Linked DNA regions of Arabidopsis thaliana. The protein of the gene in region 1 purifies or fractionates together with the protein of each later gene. This does not show direct contact. Each region holds a gene or a part of one and is shown on either strand. Other genes may lie near its edges.

Evidence for each region.
Region 2: the proteins of RCA (region 1) and CPN60B purify together in Arabidopsis thaliana (co-purification; one study listed by BioGRID). This does not show direct contact.

Annotation. Positions count from the first base shown.
Region 1 is NC_003071.7:16,570,037-16,575,475, reverse strand, and holds RCA (rubisco activase), read left to right. Parts: upstream 1-1,783; 5' UTR 1,784-2,130; coding exon 2,131-2,175; intron 2,176-2,659; coding exon 2,660-2,976; intron 2,977-3,067; coding exon 3,068-3,173; intron 3,174-3,272; coding exon 3,273-3,358; intron 3,359-3,449; coding exon 3,450-3,922; intron 3,923-4,003; coding exon 4,004-4,285; coding exon of another isoform or gene 4,286-4,302; exon of another isoform or gene 4,303-4,409; coding exon 4,410-4,525; 3' UTR 4,526-4,730; downstream 4,731-5,439. Other genes in the region: AT2G39725 (LYR family of Fe/S cluster biogenesis protein), read right to left, coding at 5,134-5,406. UniProt on the Arabidopsis thaliana protein: Activation of RuBisCO (ribulose-1,5-bisphosphate carboxylase/oxygenase; EC 4.1.1.39) involves the ATP-dependent carboxylation of the epsilon-amino group of lysine leading to a carbamate structure.
Region 2 is NC_003070.9:20,714,917-20,721,301, reverse strand, and holds CPN60B (chaperonin 60 beta), read left to right. Parts: upstream 1-2,040; 5' UTR 2,041-2,233; exon of another isoform or gene 2,234-2,620; 5' UTR 2,621-2,628; coding exon 2,629-2,844; intron 2,845-2,942; coding exon 2,943-3,068; intron 3,069-3,147; coding exon 3,148-3,285; intron 3,286-3,367; coding exon 3,368-3,463; intron 3,464-3,547; coding exon 3,548-3,790; intron 3,791-3,905; coding exon 3,906-4,140; intron 4,141-4,227; coding exon 4,228-4,397; intron 4,398-4,485; coding exon 4,486-4,563; intron 4,564-4,650; coding exon 4,651-4,722; intron 4,723-4,804; coding exon 4,805-4,909; intron 4,910-4,983; coding exon 4,984-5,076; intron 5,077-5,163; coding exon 5,164-5,256; intron 5,257-5,348; coding exon 5,349-5,472; intron 5,473-5,571; coding exon 5,572-5,585; 3' UTR 5,586-5,739; downstream 5,740-6,385. Other genes in the region: ECT4 (evolutionarily conserved C-terminal region 4), read right to left, coding at 1-124, 211-732, 831-886, 979-1,123, 1,201-1,277, 1,528-1,555; ZKT (protein containing PDZ domain, a K-box domain, and a TPR region), read right to left, coding at 5,951-6,091, 6,180-6,239, 6,309-6,385. UniProt on the Arabidopsis thaliana protein: Binds RuBisCO small and large subunits and is implicated in the assembly of the enzyme oligomer. Involved in protein assisted folding. Required for proper plastid division.

The DNA.
Region 1 (5,439 bases):
TCTCTTAAACCCTAGTTATTAAACTGATGAATTTTCTTTACATCTATTTTTATTAGAAACATTTTAGACAATGTTTATTTATGATTTTGATGTGGTTGCATACTTGCATGCACATGGAAAATTATCCTTTTGACAAAAACTAGTTGGCTTTCTTCTTTTTGTTCAATCTTTTATCCTCCTCTACACATTGTCTCATATTTTATTGCAATGGTAACCTCAACTCTTTTTACAGTTAAACCTCCATAAATTAATACTCGATAAATTAGTAACCTCTATAAATTAATAAATTCACCAGATCCCAAGTTAGGACCAATGTAAAAAGTGTAACACATCGATAAATTAATAAGATAATAACTTTTTTGAAAGTCCTATGTAAATATATAGTCTCATCAATATCATAAATTAATAATTGCATAAATGTATCAACTATATATATACATTATATGTAAGAAATGTTTTTGATTTTTTTTTACTTAAATTTGTAGTTATTCTTATTTGAAATTTAGTTCTAATGTGTTACTGTATCAAAAAAAATTTGGTATTGTTTTCTAGACATGATATAATTTTGTACTTGTAATTGATTTTAGAAAGATATTTTCTATAATGAAAAAAATCTTATAAAACTTTTTAAAAAGTTACCAAATTAGGAAAATTTCTCTATAATTAAAAAATATTAATTTATCGATAAATTAAAACCTTTTTAAATTAATAAAATTTTGCAGTCCCAACATTATTAATTTATAAAGGTTTTACTGTACTTCATTTTCTAACCTCAGTATGTTAAAAGTCATGTATGTGTACTAAGAATCAAACCTGGCACGCAAACTTTTGCTAATTTTGTCACATACAGTTAACATTTAGCATTGTGCGAGTAGCTCCACCACATTATTATCAATCGTTTGGTTCTTCAACATGTCTTATATATGGATCAATAATAGTTTAATATCATATCAGTAATCTTTGTTCTCTTGTCTTGCATGTAGAACATGTACATATTGCTTCGTCGGCAGCGAATGAAGCCTAAAATTAAAATTTGGTTTTGTCCATTGATGATATGATGGCTCGTTCCACATGAGAGAATGGTTGAGAAAACTGAAAATAATGAAGAGGATGAGAAATTATAATGATCAGACAAGTGAAGTGTTTCATTTTATAGCTTAGTGTAGAAAACGATTGCTTGTGATTGTGAATATATAGTTTTAGATGAGTTGTTTTTATAGTAACTTTGAGGGAACAATAAACTATGATATAGTTATCATTTTTATTTTAAAACAAGTAAATTCATATGAATTTCTGATATATTCATATTTTCACTATGAATTTAAACACTATAATCTTATTTCATATTTTAGCATATGATATTTTGCATGATGCTATCTTAGCCTCGACTATCTTTACTTCATCTTCTAAACTATATATTTATCAAATCTTACGTATGCATTGCATCACTTGTTTTTACATTTTGTGTAAAGAAAAAGTTGCATTAATTAGTTTTTAGCGGTTTAGTACAATATGGTTAATTTGATAACCACATACTTGATACCTGTTGTATCTAGAGTTGTATATAACAAAATTAGAATTATATTCTATTGGCTAAGCCAATTTCTCTCCACCAATCAGTTTACATCGGTTATTTGGAACATTATTATCGATAAGCAATGTCATTATCCAAAATTTTGGAATGTTATCGTATGAAGAAGAGTGTAGAAGTATCTTGATCACATATGAATGGCTTACCTCAATCCTCAAAAAAAAAAAAAAAAACAATGATTTTCCAAAGCATATGTGGTAATAAATAATGTTATAATCTTCACTTGAAAAAAAAAACAAATCCATTGGCACAGATTAGCCATTTGACGACAACCTCATAAACATATTCCACGTGGACCAATCAAAATAGAATCCTCCTAATCATCTTCCTCGTGGCAACTTGGCCAATCCGCATCGTGTGGCGATCAGAGAGTTAAGCCTTGAAGACGAAGAGATAACGAATTGGTTGTTGATCACTCGCTTTATAAATCTCTCAGTTTCTTGCTCACACCAACATCTCTCTAAGCTTCTTCTTCTACCAATCTAATTCCTCTCTTCAGCTTCTTGTGTTGTGACGCATACTCGTCGCAGTCTTGAGATATGGCCGCCGCAGTTTCCACCGTCGGTGCCATCAACAGAGCTCCGGTACACTTCAATCTCCATTAGTGGTTTAATGTTACTTTTAACATAATCTTAACGCTTTGTGCTTATCCACCACTTGAATAGCTTTGGTTTTTACAAATATAGCTCAAGAATTTGATCGTTTGAATCACTTTGAGATTCTCTGACAGAACAGAAGAATCAGGACTTTAACTAGGAAATCTAAAGATACTTTGATGCTTCTTTTATTCTCTACTTGTGAACTATAGATTTAGTAGATGTGTTTAAATCGATGTATAGTAATTGAACTGAAACTGTAGAGACTACTACTACTCTTTAGTCTTCAGGACTAGTCTATACCTTGAGCTATGTGAACCAAATTAAAGTTTATTCCCCGGTTTGGTTCGGTTCAGTTCCTGATTGAGCGCCTTTTATCCTTAGGAATAGTCTCTAAACCGGTTCTTGAACCATATAAACCAAACTTGAATTCATGATTGGTGATTGAACTGTTTTTGTGTGTGTGTTGCAGTTGAGCTTGAACGGGTCAGGATCAGGAGCTGTATCAGCCCCAGCTTCAACCTTCTTGGGAAAGAAAGTTGTAACTGTGTCGAGATTCGCACAGAGCAACAAGAAGAGCAACGGATCATTCAAGGTGTTGGCTGTGAAAGAAGACAAACAAACCGATGGAGACAGATGGAGAGGTCTTGCCTACGACACTTCTGATGATCAACAAGACATCACCAGAGGCAAGGGTATGGTTGACTCTGTCTTCCAAGCTCCTATGGGAACCGGAACTCACCACGCTGTCCTTAGCTCATACGAATACGTTAGCCAAGGCCTTAGGCAGTAAGTTCTCATCTCTCTAGATCTCTCATTAGTTCCATAAAGATTTTGGAGTCTTTGGTTTTAAAAATTGTCTTTACTTCTTGAAATATAGGTACAACTTGGACAACATGATGGATGGGTTTTACATTGCTCCTGCTTTCATGGACAAGCTTGTTGTTCACATCACCAAGAACTTCTTGACTCTGCCTAACATCAAGGTATAATTTAAAGTTTTTCTTTTGAGTATTTTTTGGTGCAATCTTGACTTATTACACAACTTTATTGATCTTTAAATGCCTGTTTTTTTTGTCTCATAGGTTCCACTTATTTTGGGTATATGGGGAGGCAAAGGTCAAGGTAAATCCTTCCAGTGTGAGCTTGTCATGGCCAAGATGGGTATCAAGTGAGTCCATTTCCCAAATCTCCGATCTTGACCCGGTTTCTGTTTAGCTCTCTTTCGACAAGAATCTAAAAAAGTTTGAATCTTTTTGCAGCCCAATCATGATGAGTGCTGGAGAGCTTGAGAGTGGAAACGCAGGAGAACCCGCAAAGCTTATCCGTCAGAGGTACCGTGAGGCAGCTGACTTGATCAAGAAGGGAAAGATGTGTTGTCTCTTCATCAACGATCTTGACGCTGGTGCGGGTCGTATGGGTGGTACTACTCAGTACACTGTCAACAACCAGATGGTTAACGCAACACTCATGAACATTGCTGATAACCCAACCAACGTCCAGCTCCCAGGAATGTACAACAAGGAAGAGAACGCACGTGTCCCCATCATTTGCACTGGTAACGATTTCTCCACCCTATACGCTCCTCTCATCCGTGATGGACGTATGGAGAAGTTCTACTGGGCCCCGACCCGTGAAGACCGTATCGGTGTCTGCAAGGGTATCTTCAGAACTGACAAGATCAAGGACGAAGACATTGTCACACTTGTTGATCAGTTCCCTGGTCAATCTATCGGTAAGAAAGATTCTTACTACCCTGAAAATGTTCTATATAGGACCTCGTGCAGAATCTGATATGTGTTTTTGGTGTGGACAGATTTCTTCGGTGCTTTGAGGGCGAGAGTGTACGATGATGAAGTGAGGAAGTTCGTTGAGAGCCTTGGAGTTGAGAAGATCGGAAAGAGGCTGGTTAACTCAAGGGAAGGACCTCCCGTGTTCGAGCAACCCGAGATGACTTATGAGAAGCTTATGGAATACGGAAACATGCTTGTGATGGAACAAGAGAATGTCAAGAGAGTCCAACTTGCCGAGACCTACCTCAGCCAGGCTGCTTTGGGAGACGCAAACGCTGACGCCATCGGCCGCGGAACTTTCTACGGTAAAACAGAGGTTTGAAACTCGTTTGTTTTTTGGTTTAGTTGGCCACTGGGTATGAAAATGTAAAAGAGAAAGAGAAGAAAATGGAATTAGGTTTTCTGAAGTTAAACTTACTTGACTTGCAGGAAAAGGAGCCCAGCAAGTAAACCTGCCAGTTCCTGAAGGGTGTACTGATCCTGTGGCTGAAAACTTTGATCCAACGGCTAGAAGTGACGATGGAACCTGTGTCTACAACTTTTGAGCAATATTATCCTGCTTATTAATTTGCTGTTTTACTCCTATTGTCTCTTTTGGTTTATTTTTCTCCTTTGTGTAATTGTGGATTGGATCTTGTCCTCTTTTGTTCCCTTTTTTTTTTTTTATGATGTACAACACATTGGTAATTTAAAATTGCCTTGTCATAAACTACACTTCTTATTCCAATGTTGCACACTAGGTAAATGCTTAGACATATAAAGTATACAAAATCTGAGGCCAAATAGCACTAAGTAGAACAGAACTATAGGACAAAACTGAATCCGGAAAAAAACAATGTGTCGCATTCACATGTAAAGCAAGACCATTGGCAACGGAGCACTACACCATTGACTGGTACTCTTACAAAGATGAAATCTGATACATTGCTTCTCATATTGAATGATTGCAATCTCTAGACTATTAGCAGATGCACATAATTGTGTGAAAGTGTATATATATATTCAATTGTGATCACAATTCTCTTTATTTTATAATGGACCTTGAACATCCATCATCATACATACATAACTCAATGTAAAAAGAGGAAAACGAATCAATTTCCTCAGCTTTGTTATCTATGGTCACTAGAGCAACAAGCTATAAAATAAGGTATCAGGTTTTAGATGTAACGACCTTGATCGAGGAGAGGCTAACTATGGCAGGGCTTTTGAGTTGATCAAGCTGTTTAGTACCTAACCGAAGCAAATACTCGATGTACTGAAAATTCTTACGGTCGACCTCCTTAGAGTTGTGGCGGAACTCTGTTGACACAATCATCTCTATTCTCTTCCTGTCTTCTATTGGTCTTGAACGAGCTGCTCTTAGAAATCCTCTGTAGAGACTCAAGACTTGCTTTTGCATCCCGGAAAGTTTCGAAGCTCCCATTTTTTATCTTTAAACAAAGACCAAACAAAACAA
Region 2 (6,385 bases), on another chromosome or scaffold:
AAGAACCATAACCCATACCAGACCTCACCGTGCTACCATACTGACCATATGACTTGTTTGGAGACACTCTGTCGTAGTAACCCTGAGCTGCATAACCTGTCATGGATGCAGGCTGGTACATACTCTGCCAAGAATAGAATGAGGCTATCAGATACAGGGATTCAGATAGAGAAGAAGACTTATCATACAAAACTGACTTCCATATCATACCGTGTAATGCGAATTGGAGCTAGAGTTTTGATTCCTAGTCGCAGGTACATTGTTGTTAGCCTTAGAATATGAGGATGCAACTCCACTGCCAGAAACAGACCTCTGCACATCTGAGAAGTTAGAGCCATCGTGCCATGACACAGGAGTGTAAAACCCATCATAGCTATACCTGGGGTCCTGATAACCAGCAGCAAGACCACCTCCAAGAGCACTGTTTCCATACAGTGCACTCTGATTCAATGGTTTAACAGGAGCTGATCCATTCATTCCTTTAGGGATACCAGCAGATGCAGAGTTGGCTGCTTTGTTTGTAGAGAGCTTGCTCTGAGTAGAGGCAGGAACAGACGAAGCGAAAGGCCCACTACTGGCTGTGAGAGGAAAAGGATACTGGTACTGCTGAGCACCATACAACTGTCCATCACCACCAAGTTGTGGAGCAGGGCTTGTTGCTGGTGAGTAAGGAAAGGCAGCATACCCGTATCCCTGCGGATAAACAAGAGATGCATTCTCTCCGTAAGCTCCCTGGAGTGATTACCAAATGACTAAGTAGGGCAAAAGGTAAAAGAGAGGCTAAATAGTCTGGACACGAGTTGCTTATAAGAAAATATTAACGCACGTACTGATGTCATATCAACACTCTCGGAATTGGTATAACCTGTGTAGTCACTCCCATAACCTGAAAGATTATACAAACGGTTGTGTTATAGATATTACAATAATTCTAGACAGTAGAAGGCTGAAGATATATAAATGAAACTTAATTATCACCATAATAGTAGGGCTGCTGATACACATTAGGAACATAGAAAACAGAAGGATCCAAGGCATCACTGGGTAGCATAGGTGACAAAGATCGATCAAAAGAAGGAACTTGACCATTCGAATCCATAGCTCCATACTGGTAAACACCCGTCTGCAAAGATAATGATGCTATGAGAACTCTGCTTGGAGTAACAAAATGTGCAGAGACATTAAAAGATGTAACTTTACCTTCTTAGTAGGCTCAGGGATCTCCAAAGTCCTAGACTTTGAATCTAAAGACAGTTTCTTCAATACATCAGCAGCTTCTGAAAAAACAATGTAAGTGAAGGAAACAAATAGGTTTCTATCTTCAGCAAGACTAAAAAATTGATTTTTCTAATCAATTTATTCACTTTGCTAGCTACAGGAACAGTCAAATTCATCGAGCTAAAACAAACAGAACAAATGGAAATGACATCATTTCACTATATGAATCGAATTACGATGAAGCAACTAGATTCATGAACGTAGATCACAAAAGAAATGAAGGAGAAAAGAAACAAAGGCAAAGGATACGATCAGCAGGAGGAGCAACAGTAGACATGAGAACAGAGTTGGCAGCGAAGACTGATAATAGATCCTTGTCGGATATTGAACAATAAGAGTTTGAGACAAACACAAATATCAGAGCAAAAAAGAACTCAGAAGGAATCTAGGGTTTAAGAGATTGAATCGTAGCCGCAAGAGAAGAGAGAAGAAGAGGAAGAGGCAAAAGTGGTTTTGTTCGTTCACCTCGATTTGATTCAAATACCTCCAAGATCCCTTTTTTATATTTTTCTATTATTTTTGTTTACCTTTTTCTCCATCGTTTTTTTTTTAAAATACTTCCTTTATTCCAGCCACATTAATATTATACTAGTCACTACGAAATATCTCACAAAATAATACTATAAATATTATTTCCTCGAAAATTTCGCAATTAATCGGGAAAAAATCAATTTTTAAAATAAATATCACTGATTCCAATTCCATTGTTAGGAATTAAGGAGCAAGAATAAAGGCCCAAATAGGCCCAATATAAATCTGATCCAGGATCCGAAGAGTTGAATCCAACGGCCAAGATTAACTCAAAGCTTGAAAGAGGTAAGGGAACGTTAAAAGCACCTTCCAAGCGAGAGTAAGGAGATAAACCTACTTCCTTTCCTTGCTTCAGCTCCCCTTTTCTTATCCGGAAACCAAAAACTTCCGGTGATAAAACCTCCTTCGTCATCTCTCTACTTCTGTTAGTTTCTTAATCCTTACTCTTGGAATAGTTTATCCTCTGCATTTTTTAGTGCCACAGTTTATGTGTGTATGTTTTGTTTGGATAAGAATTTGTTGTAAGCTTTTGAAAACTTGTATTAGTTCATTACTTCCATGATTTTGGGTGTTTTGTAATAAAATTTATGGATTAGTGTTTCTTCAGATTGTCAATTGTGTTCTTATTGAGCTCTGCTTTCGAAGGTGTCGCCTTTCTTCTGGTTTGTTGTGAAAATTTATTACTTTAGCTTACTGGGTTGTTGTTTCTTTCTGTTATATTGATTGTGTTAACCGTATATAGATGAAAAGAAGAGTCTTTTTTATATCTTTGAAATCTTATCTAAGTGCTGAATTTTGTCTGTCTTTGAAGTGGATAAAATGGCGTCAACTTTCACTGCCACATCTTCTATTGGTTCAATGGTTGCTCCGAATGGTCACAAATCTGATAAGAAACTTATCAGCAAGTTGTCTTCAAGCTCATTTGGAAGGAGACAAAGTGTGTGTCCTAGACCCAGAAGATCCAGTTCTGCAATTGTGTGCGCAGCAAAGGAATTACATTTCAACAAAGATGGGACTACCATTAGGAGACTTCAAGTAAGTATCTTTTTTAAAAAAAGTTAATGGAAACTTCATTCCCAAACCGGAGCTAAAGGTTTACATTTTCTGTGGTTTCTAATTTTGTGTTGTACTAGGCTGGTGTCAACAAGCTCGCAGATCTTGTTGGTGTTACACTTGGACCCAAAGGACGAAATGTTGTTCTTGAGAGCAAGTATGGATCACCACGAATTGTTAATGATGGTGTGACTGTTGCAAGAGAGGTATGGAATTATTACCCCTCTGATAATGATTTTTGTTCTCATTCAACTGAGTCTTAGAGTTTCAAACTTTCTCCTGTAGGTTGAGTTGGAAGACCCGGTTGAGAACATTGGCGCTAAGCTTGTGAGGCAAGCGGCTGCCAAAACCAATGACTTGGCTGGTGACGGTACAACAACATCTGTTGTTCTTGCACAAGGTTTTATCGCTGAGGGTGTCAAGGTCTGTGTAACATTCTTCTTTCAGCTTTCTCTATGTGAAACTTCAAAAACTTTTGTACTAATTTTAAGATTATCTTATTCAGGTGGTAGCTGCTGGTGCAAACCCTGTTTTGATCACCAGAGGTATTGAGAAGACAGCAAAGGCTTTGGTTACCGAGCTCAAGAAAATGTCTAAGGAGGTTTCAAATTTATAGAACTCTCTTTCTTTTAATATGTTAAGAGTCTTTTTCAAAAGGTTCTGAATGTAAGTCATGTCGATGTAGGTTGAAGACAGTGAACTTGCAGATGTTGCAGCTGTTAGTGCGGGTAACAACGACGAAATTGGAAATATGATTGCTGAAGCAATGAGCAAAGTGGGCAGGAAAGGTGTGGTGACCCTTGAGGAGGGTAAAAGTGCCGAGAACAACCTCTACGTCGTAGAAGGAATGCAATTTGACCGTGGTTATATCTCTCCTTACTTTGTGACAGACAGCGAGAAAATGTCCGTCGAGTTCGACAATTGCAAGGTAGATGTTTCTTGAATCTGAGTAGAAGATGAATTTTGTTGGCAGACTATTTAGCCACTAAAGATATTTATATATGAGTATAACAACGATCTTTAATGTTTTGGTATGATTGCAGTTACTTCTCGTTGACAAGAAAATTACCAATGCAAGGGATCTTGTTGGTGTTTTGGAGGATGCAATTAGAGGCGGATACCCAATATTAATTATTGCTGAAGACATTGAACAAGAAGCTTTAGCGACTCTTGTTGTAAACAAGCTTAGAGGTACACTGAAGATAGCAGCTCTCAGAGCTCCAGGGTTTGGAGAGCGCAAGAGCCAATACCTTGATGATATTGCCATTCTAACTGGAGGTAAGTTCTGTCTGCATTGATGAGCCCTATGTTTACGCATATATTTGTAGTTTTTATCTTGTCCTAATTTTCTATCTTCGCTTGCAGCAACTGTGATCCGTGAGGAAGTTGGTCTTTCACTTGACAAAGCTGGAAAAGAGGTTCTTGGTAATGCTTCAAAGGTTGTCCTCACAAAGGAGACCTCGACCATAGTGGGTGATGGAAGCACACAGGATGCAGTGAAAAAGCGTGTTACACAGATTAAAAATCTTATTGAGGTATAGTAAAAGAGTATAGCATATATGGGACCTCTTTTACTTTTTGTGGATAGTGTAGTTACATTGCAATGGTAATTGGTTTGTGCAGCAAGCGGAGCAAGATTACGAGAAGGAGAAACTCAATGAGAGAATTGCAAAGCTCTCTGGTGGAGTTGCTGTGATTCAGGTAAACTAAAAACTATTTAAGTTTCCTTTGTCTGATTAAGATGTGTTTCAGAGATATTAAGTTAAGCTCGTTATGTATTGGTTAAAGGTTGGAGCACAAACTGAGACAGAACTCAAAGAGAAGAAGTTGAGAGTTGAAGATGCTCTTAATGCAACAAAGGTGATTTTGTATTTCTGAGGCTTGAGAAGCGTGTTATTTGCATACTCGTGAACTATAACTAATCAGGATTTTAATTCTTCAGGCCGCTGTCGAGGAAGGTATTGTTGTTGGTGGTGGTTGCACTCTGCTTCGTCTTGCTTCCAAGGTTGATGCCATTAAAGCCACGCTTGATAATGATGAAGAAAAGGTAAATCAATCAAGTCTTCAGATTTTAACTCATGAACCTTCGGTTTCTCTAACTTTGCTGATGATTCCCTTTAGGTTGGAGCGGATATAGTTAAAAGAGCACTAAGTTACCCCCTAAAACTAATCGCCAAGAATGCTGGTGTTAATGGAAGTGTAGTTAGCGAGAAGGTAATAACAACAGATAACATAATTCCCACTTTTTTATCTCTAGATTTCAAGTCAGATGCTTGAAGAGATGTCTCTATTCATTGGCAGGTGCTTTCCAACGATAACGTGAAATTCGGTTACAATGCTGCAACCGGCAAGTACGAGGATTTGATGGCTGCAGGAATCATCGATCCAACAAAGGTAAGTTTTCTGTGCATATACAGAAACTGTCTTTGCTAGCTAAATTGGTCATCAAAGATCCATGAACCTGAGTGGCTTTATCTTGATTTTAGGTTGTGAGATGTTGCTTGGAACACGCAGCTTCGGTTGCAAAGACTTTCTTGATGTCGGACTGCGTTGTTGTTGAGATCAAGGAACCTGAACCAGTTCCCGTCGGCAACCCAATGGACAACTCAGGTTTGTTCAGAATTTCAAATACTTGAGTCTTTGGTAAAGATCCCCCGCATTCAATATTCATGTTTCATTGCTGAATCTTGTTGGCCTCTCTTATTTCAGGATATGGATACTAAGAGGAGATAGGCTAATATTGAAACGGATTACTTTAGCTTGCGAGTGTAATGATTTTGAACAAGAGAATGTGTAATGTGAAACTGAAATTTTGAATTAATCATCATATGAATAAATCATGATTCCCTCAATGCTTCGAAATATCTCGAAATCGCCAAATATGAAACTTTTGATCCAAAGATTTGAAGATTTATTATCACTTCATATGAAATGGTATACGTAAACTGAATGAAATGGTTAAAAGAATTTCTTAAGAAAAAAAGAACACATTTATGATCGAATAAAATTCCTCACAAGTATGTATAGAGCCAAGAAGAGAAGAGAAGCTATGAACAGATCACATCAAAAGACACAAACTTTAGGTGAACTATTTCTTGTTAAAGCCAAACAAGGATTTGATGGCGTTAATGGCACTCTCATTGATGAAAGATTCGTCGAATTGCTTCAGAAGTGGATCGAAATCCTTCGACTTCCTGAGAGTTTCCAGATCTGGATCACTTCTGATTCTCTGCAAACAAAACAAATAACACAGCTTCAACAAACAAGTCCATCCTTCTCTCTGTCTCAATTGAAACATTACAACTCCTTGGACTTACCTTAAAATCTTCATATCCTGACTTCAATGCTTCTTCCAGAGCCGAGAGACCAGCTTGAACCTATCAAAATAACTCTATCAACACTGCAAGTCAAAATGCAATATCTGAAAAGATTCAAAAGCTTTTTACCTGATTAAGCTTTGAGTAGCAACAAGCAACATTGTAACTTGCAACTGATGCTTCTTCTGGTGTTGGTTTAGAACCTA